Saccharomyces cerevisiae S288C: one gene and its partners. The protein of the gene in region 2 binds, or shares a complex with, the protein of the main gene of each other region. Each region holds a gene or a part of one and is shown on either strand. Other genes may lie near its edges.

Evidence for each region.
Region 1: RSM25 (region 2) and MRPS16 share a complex: the UniProt entries of both Saccharomyces cerevisiae proteins name them as parts of the mitochondrial small ribosomal subunit.
Region 3: RSM25 (region 2) and MRP4 share a complex: the UniProt entries of both Saccharomyces cerevisiae proteins name them as parts of the mitochondrial small ribosomal subunit.
Region 4: RSM25 (region 2) and RSM28 share a complex: the UniProt entries of both Saccharomyces cerevisiae proteins name them as parts of the mitochondrial small ribosomal subunit.

The regions. Positions count from the first base shown.
Region 1 is NC_001148.4:526,567-532,583, reverse strand, and holds MRPS16 (mitochondrial 37S ribosomal protein bS16m MRPS16), read left to right. Parts: upstream 1-3,233; coding exon 3,234-3,599; downstream 3,600-6,017. Other genes in the region: mRNA-binding protein RRP12, read right to left, coding at 1-2,861; CIP1 (Cip1p), read right to left, coding at 3,892-5,037; histone deacetylase HST2, read left to right, coding at 5,701-6,017. UniProt on the Saccharomyces cerevisiae protein: Component of the mitochondrial ribosome (mitoribosome), a dedicated translation machinery responsible for the synthesis of mitochondrial genome-encoded proteins, including at least some of the essential transmembrane subunits of the mitochondrial respiratory chain.
Region 2 is NC_001141.2:186,949-193,160, forward strand, and holds RSM25 (mitochondrial 37S ribosomal protein mS23 RSM25), read right to left. Parts: upstream 1,837-6,212; coding exon 1,042-1,836; downstream 1-1,041. Other genes in the region: LYS12 (homoisocitrate dehydrogenase), read right to left, coding at 1-684; YIL092W (uncharacterized protein), read left to right, coding at 2,118-4,019; rRNA-binding ribosome biosynthesis protein UTP25, read right to left, coding at 4,082-6,212. UniProt on the Saccharomyces cerevisiae protein: Component of the mitochondrial ribosome (mitoribosome), a dedicated translation machinery responsible for the synthesis of mitochondrial genome-encoded proteins, including at least some of the essential transmembrane subunits of the mitochondrial respiratory chain.
Region 3 is NC_001140.6:96,666-100,903, reverse strand, and holds MRP4 (mitochondrial 37S ribosomal protein uS2m MRP4), read right to left. Parts: upstream 1,686-4,238; coding exon 501-1,685; downstream 1-500. Other genes in the region: sphingosine N-acyltransferase LAG1, read left to right, coding at 1-256; YHL005C (uncharacterized protein), read left to right, coding at 1,684-2,076; SHU1 (Shu1p), read left to right, coding at 2,109-2,561; mitogen-activated protein kinase kinase kinase kinase STE20, read left to right, coding at 2,967-4,238. UniProt on the Saccharomyces cerevisiae protein: Component of the mitochondrial ribosome (mitoribosome), a dedicated translation machinery responsible for the synthesis of mitochondrial genome-encoded proteins, including at least some of the essential transmembrane subunits of the mitochondrial respiratory chain.
Region 4 is NC_001136.10:1,433,760-1,440,006, reverse strand, and holds RSM28 (mitochondrial 37S ribosomal protein mS46 RSM28), read right to left. Parts: upstream 3,078-6,247; coding exon 1,992-3,077; downstream 1-1,991. Other genes in the region: CORVET complex subunit VPS3, read left to right, coding at 1-1,892; MZM1 (Mzm1p), read right to left, coding at 3,419-3,790; IZH1 (PAQR-type receptor), read right to left, coding at 4,133-5,083; serine/threonine protein kinase PKH1, read left to right, coding at 5,739-6,247. UniProt on the Saccharomyces cerevisiae protein: Component of the mitochondrial ribosome (mitoribosome), a dedicated translation machinery responsible for the synthesis of mitochondrial genome-encoded proteins, including at least some of the essential transmembrane subunits of the mitochondrial respiratory chain.

The DNA of each region.
Region 1 (6,017 bases), on a different chromosome or scaffold from region 2:
ACACAAACCTTGGTAAACCCAATGGCGCTTTTTACAATTTCCCTAGAGTTAGAAGTTAAGTACAATTCAATGGTGTCATATATATCCATTAGTATACCGGAATCGAGTTCATTTTTGAATTCAAAAACTAAACAAGCATAACCCGTAATTGAACTACTAACCATATGTTGAGATTCACCAATAAGACCGGCAGAAATGATCTTAAAAAACTCTGATATTGACGACGATTGATCTGGAGTGGTAGGATCATAACCTGGTATTTGGAATAATTTGATAATACCATTTGGCTCATTCATTTTTCTTCCCATACAAATTAAAGTATCAAAAGCGGTCTCTCTAGATTTTTCATTCACATCCTTTGTACTCAAAATAACCTCAGCGACGGTTCTAACAATGAAATCAAGATGATCTAAAGGTAATAATTCTACTATGGTTTTAATTGCTGTTAATCTTGCAGCTTTAGCAGATGTTTGAACAGAGGAGGCGCTATCTACCATGACATTCTCAATATCCGAAATGAATTGGGCGACAGCTGTTGATCCCGATTTCAACTCAGAAAGCTTTGTAATAATTCTATAAGCTCTTTTTTGAATTAGCGCGTCAGCAGAATTTACGGTGAGGCTAAACATTGAGAATAAAGCAGAATAAGACGAGACAGGTAAGTATGTTATCATACATATGATTAAGTCCAATAGTGTCGCTGTCAATTGAGGCTTTTTCTTTTCTTTGTTCACATTTCCGCTACTTTCTTCATTCATAGAATTCTTCAAAAGACCACATACGTTGTTGAAAGTTTTCTCCAAATCTTCCTTTGAAGTAATCTTTAAATATTGATCAATCGTTTCCAAAATATAACTCCTTGCATTTGGAGTGGTTTGAGTATAAACATTGAACAAAACTGCTAGAAGATTCGTTGATTTGGTTGAAAGGTATTCTATATTCTTTTGAGCTTCAGAAATGGGGAAACGTTGCAACAATAAAACGTTGTGAGAAGAGGACTCTTCGGCATATGAAACATTGCTTTCTGCCAAGACCTTTAAAGCATGACAAATTGTAGTTCTTAACTCAACCTCGCTGTATAATAAAGAAGATAGTTCTGAGGCAAATTCGTCAGTGAAGGATTCCCTCAAGTCCATTGGGAGTTCACAAAACCGTGGAAGTGTAGACCAGATTTGGTCAACAATAGTTTGAAAAACTCTCAATTGAATAGATTCTTCCGGGACTTTATCGAACTTAGATTGAAAACTTTTAATGTATGGTGCCAATTCGTTTTGAAAAGTTGCAAGGTTCGCATTTTTCGTATAATCTCTAATAAGCGGTAACAACCAAGCCCTGCCAGGTCTTTCGGAAGATGGATTGTCTAAATTCAGGGGTGCTTCTGCGAGTATCATTTCAGGGCCCATAGCAGAAATGGAGGCTCCGATTACTAATTCGATTTCATTTCTCAAATCCATAAACTGTTCTTCATTTACTCTCCATGTATCGACTATTTTCAGTGATTTTAAAAAGTGAGGATTAGATCTATATCTGAATTTGTTGAATGCTGCCACCAAAATCTTAAGAATTTCTCTGGAACAATGGGAATATCTAATGGATAAAAAGTCGATAAATGTTTTCGCAATTTGAGAGATGATTTCATCTACGTTTTTGAAAACTTTCTCATCCACACTTGGTGTATACAATAACAAATCATCTTTAACAGACTCAGAAAGGATTGAGATAAGACATTGAGAGGCAGCTTGGTACACTTCTGGAGTTTCACTAGCTAAATATGTGCACATAATGTGAAATACACCAGGAATTTTACGTAGCGCTTTCAGTGGTTGATGTGTTGCGTAAGTGGACATACCCTTAATGACCACAGCAATCCAGGACTTGGTTAATAATGTATCGACATTTGAGGGTTTTAATGCAAAAATGGTATCCAAGACTCTTAGGTACTTATTTTCAGCCAATCCAGAAGAAATGGTAGTTTCTGCCATTGTTTTGAACATGCTTTCAAAACATTCAAATGATGCAGAAACGAGATATTGCTCTGAGCTTTTGGTGACTCCCAATAGTACATCACAAAGAGGCTCAATCTGTGAAGATGGCCACTGTCCAGTAGAGACGACTGAAGTAATCAACCTTAGAGAGCGCATGACACTAGCGTTAATGTCTTCCTTTGTTTTCTGTGCTTTCAATTGTTTATTTGATAAATTCGAGAGATCATTTAAAATACCTGCTAACTGCTTGTCACAGAAATCTGCTACAAAAACTGCCGCTACATGCTCTGCAGTTGGTGCAACAGGAGGGTTTAATAAGACCGCATGAACTGCATCTAGCGCTCTCTTTCTAACTTTTGGTCTTACATCTAAAGAAAGTTCAAGTATACCCTGCAAACCTCTTTTTGGAGTGACGTTTAGATCATAAGTATTGTTCCAGGCTTGTGCATCTTGAGCAATAAGAAGAGATTCTAAACAACCAATAGCAGCTCTAATTAGAGGGGCATTAGCCTTTTCTGCAGTGATACATGGGGCAATTTTCGTTAGGATTTCAGAAAACTTCGATCTTAATAATACCTTAGGCGAATAATGAAATATCAGATCTAGAAGATATGTAGATGAGGAAGCCAATTGAATATCTTTTATTTCATGAGTAGATGGGTCTACTGCTTGATCCAATAGTGACATAAAGGAAATGATATAATTTACAATGTTTTTTGAAACATCATTTGTAGCTTGACCTGCAATATTTTCCTCAACGGCAGTTAATATTATAGCAATATGCTTTTGATTCTCCAATTTAGAGTTTACTTGGGAACGAATTTTAGCCAGCTTGTCCTCCAGCTCTAAAAGAAAAGCAACTTTGTCTTGATCCATGATGAACTCTGAGATTTGCTGATTCAATTCGCGAGATGCTGTTCAAAATCTAGAAATTACCTGGTTGAATTCAATCAGTAAAAAAATAAGTTGAACCTTTTCAAACTAAAACTCTTCTCTGAGAGAATTAACTGCGACCGAGGAAGTTCTAATTGCGCGATGAGATGAGATGATATAATTAAAATTTTAAACACTGCAGCGAAAAGAAAAATTTTCACTAATTATGATCATCTATCATTCAGGACGGAAAAAATGAAATAGTACACCAAGAACAGTTGTAAGAAAAAAGGAAGGGGAATATATACACGACTTAAGTAACGGAGGAGTTCTGACTGGTATTCCGTTAAGAAATTGTAATAGAGTTTATCAAGTATGACCTGTGGTCTAGTACGAATAAGGTTAGCTAGATTTGGAAGAAAAAATAGTCCGGTCTATAATATCGTAGTGGCTAATTCCCGTAAGGCGAGGGATGCTAAACCGATCGAGGTACTAGGAACCTACGTGCCGGTACCCAGCCCAGTGACCAAGAGAGAATTGAAGAGGGGCGTTGTACCTATTAAAGACGTGAAGCTTGATTTTGATAGAACAAAATATTGGATTGGTGTGGGAGCACAACCTAGCGAAACAGTTACTAAACTATTACGAAAGGCTGGTATATTAAATGATGCATGGGCCACTAGTAAGAACAGCAATGTGAATAGGAAAGTTGTATTTGAAAGAATGGAAACATTGGAGTGAAAAAGATCGGAAAAAAAAAAAAAAAGAAAAAGAAAGGAAAGCAAAGGAACGTGTTTTAATTGATGCGAGGTGTATATGTATATGTTGTATATATGTTTTACTTGGCGCTTTTATATCTATCAGACTTGTAAATAATACATCTATGGCCAACCAGAAAATGGAGAATGAGACTTGAAATGGAATAAATTAAATTCTTAATCGAATGTGAAGAAAAGAGAAAGTGTAATAGAATTTCATTAAGATAGTGTCATTATAGGTCATGTATTGTGTGCTCCTGACTGTTCGGCACTATTTACCTTTTAAGACGCAATAAATCTCTTTTTAGCTTCAATGATTCATTTGGTAAAATAGAGGATTCTTCAGTGGACACGTTTGCTGTAGGTAAACGAGTACTAGCTAAGGGGGACGATATGATATTGCTACGTTGTCTCGATAGCAGAGCTATGTTAAAATTAAATGCGGAATCTGTTGTAGGCGTTGGCGTGAGTAAAGAAAAGGCATTACTGTTGCTAACACTATTGTTAGAATTTGTGCGGGCTAAGATAGGTTGTGGTTGTAATTCTGAAATATACTGGGACGAGCCATTTCTATTCTTCATTGAGACGTTGGATCTTTGTAAGGAATACCAGTTCAACGTGTTGGTCAGGCTGGTAGTAGAGCTTACATTCGGATTCGAGTTTGTGTTTGATAAGGGGATTGGATCGGTAATATCTGCGTTAACAAACGGGGAGGGAACTCTAAGCATTTCAGAAAACTGTGGTGGGGGTGGTGGGGGTAAAGAAGTTAAAGAAGTGTTACGAGAAAGATAGCCGTCTTTTCTGACCTCTTGCAACAAGCGCTGTCTTACCAATGTTAAAAGCCAGCTATTTCTGTCACATCCGATATCCAATTGTTGAAGCTCAGATTGCTGTATAGCCGCTTTGGCAACTCTATTCAATATTCCTGAGGGAGGGTTTGTAGTATCAAACGGAGTTATCGTAGGATCGCTGCACGTGTTTTGGTAAACTTCTAATAGAAGGCCGACAAACTGCGGTGTGAACGAAGTGAATTGAGCGTTATTGTTGTAAAAGGTATGTTGTTTGAAATTCTGAGCGAAATCGGAAACGGAACTCGCCAGCGAAGAGGCGCTATTCTGTCTGGTTCTATTAGCATTGAGGTAAGGTGGAAAATACGAGGCATCCGAGCTTTTCGCCTGATTGGAGCTGCTATTATTTATAGGAGTCATTACCGGAGTGAAAACGGGAGTGGACAAGTTTCTGTCAAATGCAATCATGTCATCGTAATCACAATTTAACAACGGCTGAGGGTCCTGAGTTTGATGTTGAGCTTCTGGTTGGATGGGCAACGCGTCTTCGGGCTTGCAATTCTTGTCCTTATTTTCTTGAGATCGCCTAGAAGAGCCGGCGTGTAATCTCTTGTGCAATCTTTCCAGCAGCATTCTATATCCTATTAAACTGGTTCTAGTTCGCTTTACTAAGAAGGGAATTACAGGTTGAAGCTAGGGGGAGGAAAATACACGCTTCTATAATAGCATTCTTATATATGTTTATCTACAAGGGAAATAGAGCTATACGAAAAAAATAGAAACAGAGACAGCAACAGGAAACAGAAACAGAAACAAAAACAGAACTTTGTTTAAAGTTCGGAGTTCAAGCGTCATTTCTACACTAGTTCTTGATGAGACCTAATGAGTTTGACGTGCCTATCCAGATTGGGTGACGCGTAAAGGAGTATACCTCCTTTTTTCGCTTCACTTGAGCTTAAAATGACCATTTCTATTTCCCAAAGTGGGCATATGTCTTCCCCCTGCGCGAGTTCCGGAGTGGCAAAAAAATGTAGTAAGAAGCCGCCCTTCCCGCGCCGTTTTCCTTACGGAGGCGTCTCCCGCCCTACGCAGAGGCCCCCTGCCTGCGTGCTTTCTGCCGTCCAGCTATGGCCCAGCATTAACTCTGTTAGCTTCGCCGATCTTAAGAATAAGGAATAGACCACATTCTCTGCATGTGTTTCCATCTTTCGTAACTGTCTCTGTATCAGTAAATGTCGCTATCTGTGCCCGTCACTGAGCTACCAACCAGACGTACCGCGATCTCTCCGTGTTTCGATGTCTGTTTCTACCGCCTCTACAGAGATGTCGGTTAGGAAGATCGCTGCTCATATGAAAAGCAACCCCAACGCTAAAGTAATCTTTATGGTGGGTGCCGGGATATCCACTTCTTGTGGGATACCAGACTTCCGATCTCCGGGAACTGGCCTGTACCATAACTTGGCCAGGTTGAAGTTGCCGTACCCTGAAGCAGTGTTCGATGTCGATTTTTTCCAATCGGATCCTTTGCCATTTTACACTTTGGCTAAAGAGTTGTATCCCGGAAATTTCAGACCTTCTAAGTTTCACTATCTTTTGAAATTGTTTCAAGACAA
Region 2 (6,212 bases):
GTTAGATTCGTAGACTTCCTTACAGATTTCTCTGAATAGACCATCACTTTGAGATAGAACATTTGATTTATGAGTCACTGTCAAAGTGGCTTGGCCTCTTGTTTGTAATCTTTTCAAGGCAATATCTAATGCAATGGTTGCAATTCTTCTTGTTGCAATTTCGGATATTCTCTTTGTGGCATCAGCAACTCTTGTACCTGTGGCCTTGTCAATGTATGTTTTTTCAATTTTAATGTACAGGTCCTCAGTATTTTCTCTGACGATAACCATGTCAATTGGTTTACCCTTTTCTCCCTCTACAGACTTAACAGGACGAACATTAGCGAAAAGGCCCATTTCCCTCCTTAGAGCAACAATTGGTGAGGAGTAACCTTCCACCTTAGTAGTTGGAGACTGAACTGCACCGAAAAGAGCACCTTGACATTGTTCCTTCAACACTTTAACAGTCTCATCAGGCAACGCCTTTCCTGTTTCTTGGAATGTTTGGAAACCGGCGTAGAGATCAATAAAGTTGAAGCTTAGGCCGTGCTTGGAGTTAAGGTTTTCCAAAACTTGCTTACCAGCAGGAATGACTTCCTTACCGATACCGTCACCGGGGATAAGACCAATAGTGAGTGATTTGCGAGCAGCGTTAGATGCTAACCCACGGCAGGCAGATAATCTAGTAGCAACAGATCTAAACATCTTTTTGAGTGCGTTACTATCTTAGTTATATAAATATGTCGCACTAATATAATAATCGCATAGATACAGTCTTAGCTAATTCTAAATCAGTTAAGATGTCCTTATATAACTGTAGAACCAGTTTAGTTTCTTGTTGTTCTTTCCTCTAATTAGAGTCATCTTAAGAATATTTTTCCACGGGAAAAAAGTGAAAAAAAAAAAAAAAAAAAAAAAAAAGAGTGGGAATTTTCAGTGCAGTTGAAAAAATCGAGGTGGAATTTGAGAACGACAATTACTTAGCACTACATGTGTTGTTCTCGTTTGTTTTTAATTATATACAGGTTGGTTAGGTGACGTTGGAGAAAAGAGGCAGCCCACCTAGAAGTGGAGGTTCTCGGAAGTGGTGGATTCTTCTTCTTGCGCCGTATTCAATGTAGTGTCGTCCTTCCACGACCCTGCAGGGTTACTTGTCCTTGCTGCCATTAGTTCAGTTTCTTCAACTACCTTCTTTTCCCAGACGTCTAGGACCTCTTGTTCCTTTTGTATACCATGTTCAATGGCAGAAACTCCAAAGAGGGATCCGAACATCTCCGCTTCTTCCAAAGCCACTTGCTGCTCTGTTTCTTCTTGCATTCTCAACGCATAGAATTCATATCTGGCATGGTCATATGCTTCGACCATGTCCCCATACTGCTTCGTTTTGATTAAGTACATAGTTCGCTGGATAACACTTTCACCATCGAGTGGTCTTCCTATCTGAAGCATATGGCTCCAATCGTAGTTTTCATCACCAATTTCGTTTTCCACTAAAATCTTAGGTCTCGACAACTCCCATGGATGTTGTTTGTAAAAGAGCGATCTGAGCCTATCCTCAACGTATGTTAGTTTAGGTGGCCTGTACAGCCTTTTCACGCCCACCCTTTTGTCGCTCGAGTTGGGTCTTGTCTTGTAAAGTCCCTTATTGTTGGCATGCGGTTGTTCTGTTACGTCAACAAGTTTTCCTATGATGTGTCCATTGGAAGGATTCTTAAAACGAGGTTCACGTGTAAACTTGGTTGATGGTGGGATAGACGCTACAACGTTGTACCACGCAGGTGTTTCTTTCAACAATCCTGATTTCAAGTAAGCGGACGTCCGTTGAAGGACGTTTACAGCATTTGTTTGTATCTTCATTTCTCAGAATTCTAAGATCTTCTTCTTGAATGGTGCGCAATGTCCTTCTTCCTTTTCCAAGCTTCTAATGAGGTTATTTTCTTAGACTTTTGTGCAGTATCTAAATATTATTGGTTTTATTGCTTGTAACTTGCACTTTTCTGTAATTGCCGAAGTATCAAAGAAATTTCAACTCTCAAAGAAGATGCGCAAGAATGAAGACCAAATGAAAAATGTCATAAAAAAGCAGTATATTAGCTGTCTTGGGTTAGGGTCCTCGTTCAACAGATTCTTTTTGCTTAATGGTGCAAATGAGATCCAAAAACATGGCATACGAGTCGGGAACTAATAACTATAGTGATACAATAGCTAATGGAAATACCCTGCCGCCGCGAAGCAAGAAGGGACACAGTGGACGTAGAAAGAGGAGCGAAACTTTGCCCATAGCGTGTAATAATTTTTGTGTTACAAGACAGATTGATGACGATGAACAAGCGTTCAAAATGCTAGATAAAGTGAGTCATCTGAAAAAATTCAGTGCTGAAGACGGTGATGATAACAATATATTCGTCCAATGGGCCGATGATATTACAGATATCTTATTTGGACTATGCTGTACAGGAACGTTTTTGAAACTTCTTATAAGCTCTGCATTATCCGGCCGGGCTAAGACATGGTTTGATTCTACAACGGAGGGAATCGATGACCATGTGATAAAGGCTTACAGTTTTGAAAAATTTCTTGCTCTACTATCAGAAGAATTTGATGGAGCAAGATCTTTAAGAAGGGAAATTTTTACGGAACTATTGACGTTGTCCATTGATTCTGAGAAGTCATTAGAAGCATTTGCCCATAAATCGGGACGTCTAACTCCATATTATCTGTCTTCTGGTGCTGCGTTGGATCTATTCCTCACAAAATTGGAGCCACAGTTGCAAAAGCAACTGGAAAATTGTGCATTCCCAATGACTTTGAATTTAGCACTATTGATAACTGCCTGTGAATTTGCGAAGAGAGCATCTAATCATAAAAAATACCGGTATAAAAATACGAGGGATTCCGACATTTGTACTCCAAAGAGTAAGAATACTGCTATCGTTAGCAAATTATCGAATACTAAAACTATAAGTAAGAATAAGGTTATTGAAAAGAGTGATAAGAAAAATTACTTTGATAAGAACAGTCAACACATACCCGATCCTAAACGTCGGAAACAAAATGAACCTGGAATGCGGCTCTTTCTTGTCATGGATGAGGAAAAGAATATTCTTACATCTAGGAATGTTTCTGCCAATGCATACACATCAAAAAATGGACACACCAATTTAAGCGATCTCCATACGAATCTTAAAAACAGTAAATCTCAACAATGTGCAGTGGAGCCAATATCGATTTTGAATAGCGGCAGTTTGGTTACAGGCACAATTAATATTGACCTAATTAATGATGAAGTTTTAGGCACGAAGGAGGAAACTACAACTTATGATGAACGTATGGATGGAAACTCACGTTCTTTGAATGAGAGGTGCTGCGCCGTCAAGAAAAACTCACTACAACCTATAACATCAAATATATTTCAAAAAAACGCTGAAATTCAGGGCACAAAGATCGGGAGCGTTCTAGATAGTGGTATATCGAATAGCTTCTCCTCAACAGAGTATATGTTTCCGCCCACAAGCTCTGCGACAGTTAGTAATCCAGTAAAAAAAAATGAAATCAGCAAGAGTAGCCAGGTTAAAGATATTGCCCAGTTTAATCCGTTCATGACAAACGAAAAGGAGAAAAAGTTAAATCCATCAGAAAGCTTCAAAAGCCCTGGAGTGTCTATGGAAATAAATAGGCTAAGCCGTATCGCGGGCCTCAGAAATATTCCAGGAAACATTTACGAAGACAGCAAAATGCTTAATTTGAAAACTCGAAAGTGCTACCCACTGCATAACTTTGCTGTGCGCACGAGGAGTGCACATTTTAATGACCGTCCTTCTAATTATATATCACCGCATGAAACCATAAATGCGACTCTCCGATCACCTGCAAGCTTTGATAGTATTCAATGTATTACTAGGTCCAAGAGGGTAGACGCAGAGACCAATAAAGCAACTGGTTCAGCAAAAAGCGAAAATATAGAAACTAAGAGCAGAAAGTTCCCTGAAGTAATAAACCCTTTTCTTGTGAACACAACGAACAAGAAAGAAAGCGATTAAAAGTATTTGTGAATGATAATATTCTTCATTGTGTACTCTATACATTGTGGCAGTGCTAATATTTATTTAAATTCATAAATTTCCTTTTGTGCATGCGATAATACAGCTGCTCTTTTCGTCCCCACAATTCTTTCGAGTGAAAGACCATCAAGCTTGCTATAAATGCATCTAACAGTGGATATGTTTAAATCGGTATTACCTAGAAAGGCGTTCTTACCAATAAATCTGACAACTTCATTGTAAAATTCAGGATTGTTTGGAGGCTTATAAAAAACGACGCTCTTGACACCCTTGATTTCATAACGTCTATAATGGTGCAGTCTTTCCGTATACAACATAACTTTTAGACGCCCCTGTTGAAACAATGACCTATTTGCATTGAGCTGTCTTTGGCTAGAGTACTCATTTATATCCCCAAATAAAATCGTCGTCTTCTCTTTCATGTAGTTTCTAATACGAATGAAATCAGTGTAATCAGGAATGTAAATCAGTATTCCGTCTTCATACCCGGTGGATTTGACAATACCAGGAATGATGACACTTGTAAAAAATTTAAATCTGTAGTCAGGCTCTTCAATAATCGAATTCCCAATAATGTCAAATCTTTGAAAGATTTGCCTGATTTTCAAACCGGATTGCCCAATACTGGAGTTTTCTGATCCTATTACCTTGTGATTCTTCCATCTTCCTGCCATGTTACGGCATCTACCATTGATTAATGAATTAGCCGCTGGCGAGATGTATTTTGTGAATACCATTGTCTGTCTGAAGAGCTTAGCTTGTTCATTAATGTACCACATCCGAATTCTGCTAAAGTCAGCTTCATGTTGTTGATCCGGGATTTTGTTAAGATGGTCAAAGATGGTGAAAATATGAGATATGTTCTGGTATTCTATTGAATGTAATTGATCAATCACCATCAACTCTATTGAGGACAAAAAATCGTCCTGCCTCTTTTTTTTATCTGTATTTTCTAAGATCATTTGAATACCCAATGGCGAACATACAATAATGTCAGACTGGTAAAAATTGCTATAAAGTTTTATAGCCTTTCTTGTGAATTTGAGACCGACAACAAAAAAATCGTTGGTGTTCCCCCTAAATATGTGTTGGAAAGATTTTGGTTTGGACTTTGGAGGTAAGGAGTCGTCACGGAATTGGTCGTAGAACTTTCCCTTCTTGTCAACCTGATCTATACCAGATTTTGAAATTATCTTATCTACAACGCGGTACGCCACCTCTCTAGTAGGGACTACAATTAACACTTTTGGTCTTGTAAAACCTTGATCTAGGTGTTCAGTGTCTGGGTTATCCTGTAATCTTTGATTATTTTTCAAGATTCTATCTCTTGTCTTGTAGATGTGATTCAAAACATGCAAAGCATATAAATCTCTGTACTCGTCTTCGTCCTTTTCGTAGGAGTCATACTCGTATAATATGTCTTTATACTGAAACATGGGGTCTACTAATTTTTTTTGCAAAGCAGTCAATGGATCAGTTTTTTTATCCAATAGTCCATTTTGCACTTTTAGCCTTTGTTTCAAAAAGTATGAATATATAGATGATGACCTGTACGGACTTTCCACCAATGCTTCCTCACCAATTACTACCGGTTTAGCATATATATATGATTCACTGTCACTTAGTGAGCCCTTTACGGATTTGTATTTTACACTTTTGGTCTTGAAAGCATTCGACAACTTATCAACGAATTTCTCCGGAACTTGGTTGAAATGAGACTCGAAAGGATCTTGCTCATCTTCACTGTCTATATCTTTTTCGTCTCCACTGCTGTCATCGTCGTTATCATCCTCGTGATTACCCAAAAGGCCATTCTCTATCTCCAATTGATCATCCACTGGTCCATGTTCTGTATTTTCGTGCTCATCCTCCCCAACTTCGGCAGGAGCTTTGTTACTCTCGTCAGCCTCTCGCCTTCTTCTTTTTGGCTCTGGATGTTCAGATTTGAGAATCGTCAATAAAGCGTCATAAACTTTTTCCTTTTTACCCTCTTCATCCTCAATATCGAAATCATCGCCACTGTCGACATCGGACACTTCATCCTCATCGGATCTATGGTCAATATCTTCTGCTACGTCCTCTAATGTTTCTGTGCTTCCGCCTTCAGTTCTGGCAGAAGATCTTTTAATCTTCCTCAGTTCTTGTCTTCCTCTTTTCCGATAGCCACGGAAA
Region 3 (4,238 bases), on a different chromosome or scaffold from region 2:
GTCAGTCTTAACAGAATTCCGTCATGAAGGTAATTATGTGTTGAATTTTGCCACACAACAATACAAATGTTGGATTTCGTTGCCAATTGTATTTGTACTAATTGCTGCGTTACAATTAGTTAACCTGTATTGGCTGTTTTTAATTCTTAGAATCTTGTACAGATTGATATGGCAAGGTATCCAAAAGGACGAAAGAAGTGACAGTGATTCTGATGAGAGCGCTGAAAATGAAGAATCTAAGGAAAAGTGTGAATAAACGTATCTTAAGGAGAATACGTATCATCATATGATTTCCCCCCTGTATGAAGGCCAAGTTAACATGGTATAGCTCATAGTTGTTGTTATAAGAAGCATAAACCCAAGTACGAAAGTAATAATTCTGTAAAAAAAAAAAAAAATGCGTTTATTTAGCGTCTTCGGGTTGGCTATATATATATATTTAAGGATATATGGGCATATGTACAAGTTTAGGTTAACAAGCCAAAAGAAAATAAAAGTGTTCATTTTTCGTTATTTCTGGCCAAGCGATTTTGCAAGCCTCTTTGGCCAGCTCTCGCCAAGACTCCTAGTAAGAAATTGACAGATCTCAATGAATCATCGTTACCTGGGATAGGGTAGGTCACCAAAGAAGGTTCGGAGTCAGTATCGATGATTGCGATAGTTGGGACCCTTGATTTAATTGCTTCTAACAAAGCGTTTCTATTTTCTGTGGGATTTAATACGACCAGCAAGTCAGGCTTAACCTGCTTTGATGTTTCATTCGGTGATAACGCTCTTTCGGTGGGATTGTCATTAGAGTCGATTTCCTGCTTCTCCCAGATACCTGAAATTTCTGTAGAATTCGTCAAAGTACCCGGGATCCATCTGGTAGACACATAATAACCATGTGTCTTCTTAGCAGCTTCCTCGAGCCCTCTTTTCTGGCCTTGTCTTGTACCCAGAAATAGGATAATGCCACCGGATTCCGAAACGCCCTCTACTACCTTGGCGGCTCTCTTCAAATAGGACAAAGTTTGGTTTAGATCTATTATGTGAATACCTTTATATTCACCGTATATGTAGGATTGTGTGGAAGACCTCCAAAGTGAGGTAGACTGGCCCAAGTGAACACCAGCAGACATTAAGCTCTCAACAGTAATGTTTTCTGGGAGGGGCGGATAGAAAATGTCCTTATGAGGATAGTAAACCTTCGAAATAGTGGCACCCAATTTAGCGGTACGCATGGAATGGTTTAGTTGACGCAAGAAAAGTTCTTGAGAGGAATATGGTTTGTCATTGGCCGAAGGTATAAGGTTAGGGTAAGGCTTGGTTGGCGTGGCTGCTGCTGTCGTTGTAGAAGATTGTCCATCTAATGTCTTGCTGTCAAACAACTTGTTCAACAGAGCATAATTTCTGAAAAAGTCACTCAATTCAGCCTCCAGCTGCTGTTCTTTGTCAGAGAGTTTGTCTTGCTCTAATGACTTTTTCAACTCAGGTAATATTTCATCTTCTGGTACCTGAGATAGAGACTTCAATTCTGATCTAATTTCATCATACAAAAGTTTCTGTTGCAACAGCATCACCTCATCGTTATTGTTAGGGGTGTTGGCCGCACCGGATGCTGACGACTGAAACCTTTTGGTAAGGGAAGGGTTCCTCAATAAGGAAAGACGTCTGAAATTCCTCGCAAAAACGTGTCTCTGCATGAGAAAAGAGTCGTTTCTCACTTTTTATTTCTCGAATCACCTGTATTTGTGCCCCGCGATAATCAGGCTCTCGAGCGTATGTACACTTGCCAGAACTGATTATTATTTACCATCAAATATAGCAGTGACCTACGACATACAAATTTCATCTCTCGGATTCACTTACCGAATTGATTTTTTTCTTGCACTCTTTTCTGACCCGGCACGGCCTTTTCTTACCGAGATAAACAGGAAAATAGGGCAGTATGCGTGTGTTATACGTGAGAGAGAGCAAGCGGGTGAGTATTCGTTTCATTACAGTTTATGCATTAACATAAACGTATACATATTACACATACACATATACATAGATAGATACATATACGCATATATTAATGCTCAGGTGCAATAACGGGTGCAACAACAGCAGCAGCAGGATACAATATGCAGTTTGAAGAGCGGTTGCAACAGCTAGTAGAAAGCGATTGGAGCCTGGATCAGTCAAGCCCAAACGTACTGGTGATAGTCCTTGGAGACACTGCCAGGAAGTACGTAGAGTTAGGAGGACTGAAGGAGCACGTGACTACGAACACTGTGGCAGGTCACGTGGCAAGCCGGGAGCGGGTATCCGTAGTTTTTTTGGGCCGGGTAAAGTACTTATACATGTACCTCACCCGGATGCAAGCGCAGGCGAATGGTCCGCAATACTCTAATGTACTCGTCTATGGATTGTGGGATCTCACCGCGACACAAGATGGACCGCAACAGCTGCGGCTACTTAGCCTTGTGTTACGGCAGTGCCTCAGTCTGCCATCTAAAGTTGAATTCTATCCAGAACCGCCTTCTAGTAGCGTGCCTGCCCGGCTATTGCGATTCTGGGACCATATTATCAGATAGCTGCATTGTGTTACATGCGATATCGTAGAAGACGATAGAACGAAAAAGAAACGTTAATCTTTTTTTCCTTTTTTTTTCGATTAAAAAAAAAAAATTTTCGCCTCGTGGCCCGAAACACGGCCAAGAGAGGGAATTCGAAAGTCTACCGCTTTTGGCAGCTGAAAAATTCAGAAAGTCACCTGGCCAGAGAGGAAAAATACGAAACCAAAAAGAGGCATCCGTAAATTCGCATTAGCAACGCATGCTTACATAGATACTCACATACTACACACACTTACATACTTTCTTAAAGACATACATCCGTACGTACAATTAGAGCGAGGTAGCAAGCAACCCAAACTTCTTCCCTTCACTGCCTCACACCCCATCCTAAATATCCCACAAGATCCTCGACTAATACAAGAAATGAGCAATGATCCATCTGCTGTATCGGAACTACCAGACAAGGACAGTCTTGATAACGGTATCAGCAATGACAATGAAAGGGCCATGGGCGGCAATGGCGATGGCGGCGATGGATTACGATTACCAAGGACCACTGGAACTTTGAACGTCAATGCCTTACAAAAAGGCACTAATGCTGCCCATGAAGCTGGTGGATACAAATCCATGGATCCTGCGAAGAACGCGGAGACAACCAATGATGATGACAATAATGTCGTTTCACTAGATGATCCTATTCAATTTACCCGAGTATCTTCCTCCTCTGTCATCAGTGGAATGTCTTCATCCATGAGTCCTCATTCTAACATCGATGAAACCAAATCTCTAGAAGCAGTCACTCCAAACATAAATACCAGCAATATAACCCCGGATCATTCTGCTGACAACACATTTTCTACCATAAATGCGTCCGAGTCAGATCACCAGTTTAATGACACTTTACTATCAAAACTGTCGTTAACAGATTCTACAGAAACTATAGAAAATAACGCGACAGTGAAGCACCAGCAGCCAGTTGCATCTTCCACAGTAAACTCGAATAAGAGCTCCACTGATATACGAAGGGCTACACCAGTGTCCACTCCCGTTATCTCTAAACCATCGATGACAACCACGCCAAGACAGATCAATTCAGCTTCCCATTCGCTTTCGAACCCTAAGCATAAGCAACATAAACCAAAAGTTAAACCGTCCAAGCCTGAAGCAAAAAGTAAACCGGTTTCTGTGAAAAAAAGCTTTCCTTCGAAAAATCCTTTAAAAAACTCCTCTCCACCTAAAAAGCAAACAGAAAAATCGTATTATTCTTCCTCTTCGAAAAAAAGGAAAAGCGGTTCAAATAGTGGTACACTAAGAATGAAAGATGTCTTTACGTCCTTTGTACAGAATATAAAGAGAAATTCTCAGGATGATAAAAGGGCCTCATCGTCGTCCAATAATTCTTCCTCATCTTCTATAACCACCGCTTTGAGGATATCTACGCCATACAATGCCAAGCATATCCACCATGTGGGCGTGGACTCCAAGACTGGTGAGTACACAGGTTTGCCGGAGGAATGGGAAAAATTGTTGACTTCTAGTGGTATTTCCAAAAGAGAACAACAGCAAAACATGCAAGCAGTCATGGATATTGTCAAATTCTATCAGGATGTCACGGAAACAAACGGTGAAGATAAAATGTTCAAGACTTTCAACACAACCACAGGATTGCCGGGAAGTCCTCAAGTTTCAACACCG
Region 4 (6,247 bases), on a different chromosome or scaffold from region 2:
CTTTCCAGTCGGTTGACATATATTCTGCCTTGCCGAGTGAAAAATCCCAGTTGTTGCAAAGTATAACTACTTCTGGATCGGATTTAAAAATTTCAAAATCTGACAATGTATTCACTAATACCAATAATTCTGAAGAATTCAAAGAAAAAATATTCAATAAGTTGAGACTTGAGCCTCTGACACATAGTGATAATAAATTTAGAATTGAAAGAGAACGCGCCTTTGTTGAAGAGTCTTATGAAGAAAAGACCTCTTTAATCGTTTATAATAATTTAGGGATTCATTTATTAGTTCCAACGCCGATGGTCTTACGTTTTACATCATGTGAAGAGTCCGAAATTGATAATATTGAAGATCAATTGAAAAAGCTTGCGAAGAAGGATTTAACAAAATTTGAGCACATTGAAGCGAAATATTTGATGTCTCTTTTATTGTTTCTAATGACCTTACATTACGATCACATAGAAGATGAGGTAATGAAAAAGTGGTGTGACTTTTCTGACAAAGTTGACATCAGAATATTATTTTATATGTTTGGCTGGAAAGTCTATAGCGAGATCTGGTGCTTCCATGGGTTAATAAATATAGTTGAAAGGTTGAAAAGCTTGAAGCTAACTAACAAATGCGAGAATATTCTAAAAATGCTTCTGATGATGAAGAATGAACTAAAGAAAAAGAATAAAACTGGACTCTTAACGAATGACTTTGATGATATAATGAAAACTATTGATATAACTTTATTCAAATTAAGATTGGAAAAAAAGGAAACTATAACTGTTGATATGTTTGAACGCGAAAGTTACGACGAAATTATCAGAGAGATTAATTTACATGATGATAAACTTCCTAGGATAGAGTTACTAATTGAGATATATAAAGAAAAAGGGGAATATCTTAAAGCACTAAATCTTTTGAGGGAAGCTGGGGATTACATTTCACTAGTTTCATTCATTGAAGAAAATCTCAAAAAACTTCCTGAGGATTATATCAAAGAAAGAATAGCCGATGATCTTCTCCTCACTCTTAAACAAGGCGACGAAAATACTGAGGAATGCGCCATCAAAAAGGTTCTTAAAATATTGGACATGGCATGTATTAATAAAAACGACTTTTTAAACAAAATACCCGCAGAAGAAACATCCCTGAAGGTATCATTCATAGAACAACTCGGTGTCCAAAACAGCAACGATTCCAAATTTCTCTTTAACTATTATTTGGCGAAATTGCGAGAAATAATCAACCAAAGTAACATATGGTCCATTCTTGGAGATTTTATCAAAGAGTACAAAGACGATTTCGCGTATGATAAGACAGATATAACAAATTTTATTCATATCAAATTAAAGCATAGTCTTCAGTGCGAAAATTTTTCCAAATATTATGAAAAATGTGAAAACTTGAAATCGGAAAATGAAAAAGATGATGAGTTTATTAATTTCACCTTCGACGAAATTTCCAAGATCGATAAAGAACACATATTGACCTTGTTATTTTTCCCCAATGAATTAACAAACTGGGTTTCTTCCGAAGAATTGCTGAAAATATATTTGTCATTTAATGATTTCAGAAGTGTAGAAAAATACATAGGCAAGCAGAACTTGGTTGCGGTGATGAAACAATACTTGGACATATCTTCTTTGAATTACTCAGTTGAATTAGTGACTAATTTGCTACAGAGAAATTTTGAACTTTTAGATGATACAGATATTCAATTAAAGATCCTCGAAACTATACCTTCCGTATTTCCCGTACAAACAATATCCGAATTGCTTTTAAAGGTACTTATTAAGTATCAAGAAAAGAAGGAGGAATCTAATTTGCGGAAATGTTTGTTGAAAAATCAAATATCCATTTCTGACGAACTAAGCCGGAATTTTGATAGTCAAGGATAAGAAGAGCCCACCTATTCTTTTTCTGTTCAGGCATACAATTCAAATTTTATACGTACTAGATATTTACAGGTATGTAAGAATGAAATAACGATGTTTGATTTACTGTTGTAATTCAGAAATTGGTTTCATTCCAGAACAAACATCATATACCAATTTCTTTTCCTCGGAGCCCATAACAACAGATTGTAATGATAACCTCACAACTTGACTATTTTGTACGAGCTTACTCACAGTATCTTTAGATTTCGTCAGTTTTTCAAAATCTTTTTTCACATATGGTTTTAAGAGTTGATATTCTCCTGTTACTTGCCTATGAAAATCTTCTGGGTCTTCTTCAATAAGTAAATTCTGCAATTGAGGCTCTTTGGCAAAAATCAAGGAGGATCCTGGTGTATATTTACCAAAGTTTGGCGTGTTTAGGGTGAAATCATGTACTTTGAGGATTCCCAAATTTGGCGATCTGTAAATGGGGTAATTGGATTTTTTCAAGCTATCTAAGGTAAAGTTGACTAATCTGGATTCCTTTGTTGGAAAAACTTGAGGAGTATATTCTAACAAAGATAAAGGAGTGGGCTCTTCTAGTACATATTCTGAACTGACAGGTCTCTTGATAACCTTCTGTAGCTGCTGTTGAGGAGCCTTTCTCCTTTTAGATGCTGTTAAGATATGACTCTTTTTTTGAAACCTTGCTTTAGATTTGGGGGTTCCATTGAAATTAACAGGTTTTTGCTCCATCGACGAATTGAAGACATCAAGTAAATCATCTTCGACTCTCGCATCTCCTTTCAAATTATTTTTGCCATTCTGCATCTTTTTGAACTGTGGCTGCATAACTACTGTATTTCCAGTAGGATTCTTTACAAAAGACGTATTAGCACCTTTATTCCACTGCTGCTTGTTAGCACGAACAGAATCACTAGAACGGTTTTTCAGTCTCATGTTTCTTTCTCCTTGATTTCCCTCTCTACCCCTGCTTTCTTTATTGTTCATACTATTCCTATTCTGATTCCCGTTTCTCCTCTTATTTTGCATTCTACCCTCCTTCATCTTGTCCAATTTGAGAGCATTGGAGGAAGCTTTTGCTGTTGCCTCTTGAGCCCTTGCTAGAATGCTATTTATGAAATCTTCTGTGACACTTGTGCTGTAATGAGCGCGACTCACACATCTAAACATGGAGGAGCGCATTTTCTACTCCGTCTATTTCTCTTATTATGGCTCGTCCAACTAGATTATTTAATGAGTTACCGCTGCCCTTTTCCTCTTTTATGCTTTCTCCAGTTTCGTTAAGTTTAATTCCGCTATAAAGCTTTGTTCATTTCCGTCAAAAGGGATAAAGCACTAGCAACTACGCTGTTTCAGTAGCACATCAAATACAACAAGCTGTATACATGTACATACTACAAACAGAACAAATGCAACGATATATCGTGCTAAATCAGTTTATATGCCACCTAGCAAAGTTGCTAGGTACTAAAAAAGTATTTACATGTATATAGCTTCGAAGATAAAACAAAATCAAGGCATTATCATTGCTTTTTATCAGAGCATTTAAATGGTCTTGCCTTTAAGTTTGTTTTCACTCTTGCCGTAGGGTCTGCAATCGTCTCATTGTCACCCAATTCGGTGTCTTTGTGAATGTTCAAATGGTACCTAGGCTCCTTAGTACTTGAGCCATCAACCTTTTTGCCCTGAACCAGGTTTCGTCTCAAAAAAACAGCCACATCCTCTAAATGTTGAATCTGATCCTCTGTGGTGAGTTTAGGATCTGGGGGACATAACATTCCTGAACGCATTTTAGCTCTCGCGGCTAGTAATACTTCAGCATCATTCCGGAAAGCTATTCGGGTTGCTCTTAAGCCATGCCTGTATGCATTCAGGGCCTTTGTTCTCGTGCTCATAGTGTGTTAAATTTATATAATTTGTTCTTTTTATTCTCTTCAGTGAAACGCAAGCGTACCGAAAAATATAAGGAAGTCTTTTAGTCCTATCCTTTTCTCTTCCTCTCTTTCCTTTGTAGTAGGTTCACTTATTCAAACGTTTAATTTTTCGGCATTACTCACTTTAGTAAGACCAAAATTAATTAGGCTAATATAGCGAAGTACCTGTCAAAATGCGATCTATGATAAAAGCATGATGTGACGAATATCTAAAAAGGAATAAAGACTTTTTTTGCATTTAATTATTTTCTAACCTTAGATATATAATGTTATTTATTTGATTTTGTAGTAGTTGTAGGCCCATCAAGGGTGGATATGAGAATGCATTAATTTGTAAGAATCGATAATGGCTTTCAAGTGGCATACAGAACCAAGAACCACCATAATATGAAATATTTGATGAGAGCTACCGAAGAAATCGAACTTCCCTGGAGCCAAAGTTTCAGGAATCCTAAACCCGTAGATTACAGCCCCTGAAATGTAAAAGAGAGCTTCCCAAAACACAAAGCTGACTTTTATTCTGTTAAGAACCCCTTGGATACCGAACTTGAAAAACCCTGTGGTCAATGGGAGTAAGCCACTAAATCCAAACAATATGAAAAACATGGCCCTAAATGGACGAAATGTGGAAGTGTTAAACTTGTCGTGGAGGACACAGACTGTACAAAATGTTGCCAGGACTAAAGTAACAATCGTGAAAAGACTGAAGTAGGATATGTGGTCGAAGTAACCAAAGTATATTATAGGGATCATAGAACAGGAAATCAAACTGATAATCCCCAAGTAGTCGAGCTTGCTCCAGAAATTGCTTTGCTTTTCAGAGTGTTGCTTCATGCAGTGGAAACAGCTACTGCACATGAGACATGAGAAAGCGCCCATCAAGAAAATGTTTATAACGGTGTAATCGGACCAGGAAGTGGAGGGGAAAACGGGAATTAGAAAGTAGTTGGTCAACGTAATGGCAAACACGAAGTATACGATAGCCGGTACCAAATGTGTATAAATGTTCACAGTCTCGTTGTTCCAATAAAATAAAGAATATAAGCACTTTTTCCATGACAGTGTTTCACGAACGTACCCGGTGAGAATTTTGTCATTATCTTTTTGCCATTCTGGCAACTCATCGAAATTGTGTAGCAGTTTTTGCTTTTCAAAAACTGTCTGGCCTGAGACAGCTTCCACCTTAATGGAGGCTCTCGTTGCCTTGCAGCAGACACTATCTTGGTTTCTTCTTCTAGTAGTGGTGATACTCATTTTTTTTCTTCTTTTATCTTGCTTGACTCAATTAAGGCGACTAATAACAAAACGAATGACGAAAATGGAAAACAATAGAAAAGTTAGGAACCAGAATCACTTTTGTAAAGTTAATATTGCGCTTGCGGAGCTCCTTACTGTTTCAACTGATGATACTGATATGCCTTTAGAAAAGAAATCAAATTCTATTAACAGAAGGGTGCCAACATGTACGTATATATATATGTGTGCGTGTGTATATATGTCTGACATATACATGAGTAACCGGCTAAGTAAGGTTTTTACGTTGATTGCTGCATCCATCGGTCGTGAGTATTGTCAAATTGCCGATGCCCTGCAGGCAAAAAAACCGTTGAAAAATCGTTGGGAAAATGGGCTTGCCCGACTGTCGGATTTAAGGGCTTGGACCCTAAAGGTTGCATGATAAGACCTACTTATTTTAGCATATAACCCTATAAAGGTGAAAATCTCAGTAGGGTTATTTTCGTTTAAGGGAGCATGAAAAATTCAAGTTAGTACATATTAATGGCTTTGAGATATTGCGGAGTGACAACAAGAGTAATACAGAGCAGGCGAGAAAGTAACGCTGGACAGTCACTATCTGGTACAACTTGCGCACGTGTACTTGCTTGAATACTGCTACTATATCATTAATATGGGAAATAGGTCTTTGACAGAGGCAGACCACGCCCTGCTGTCCAAGCCCTTGGTACCGACATCTGCGGAACATACACAAACGCAAGAGTATCCTCGTCCTTTCGTAGATGGCAGCAATTCTCAGAGCGGGTCTGAACTACAGGCTTCTCCACAAGGTCAGTTTGGAGAAAAGGCATTGACTAGTACTAATCGCTTCATTCCCCTGGCAAATGATGACCCGGGTATGCAGCACGAGATGGGTCTTGATCCCTCAATGAGGCGTAGAAGAGAAGAATGGGCAGAACGTGGTGCGGCAAAAATCGTCAAAGATGTTGTCGACCCAGCTACGGGGGAGTTAACTAAGCATGTTGTCAAGATGGGAATAAAGGACTTCAAGTTTGGAGAGCAACTCGGGGATGGATCATATTCTAGTGTTGTTCTGGCTACCGCCCGTGATTCGGGCAAGAAATATGCAGTAAAAGTGTTGAGTAAAGAATATCTGATCCGTCAAAAAAAAGTTAAATACGT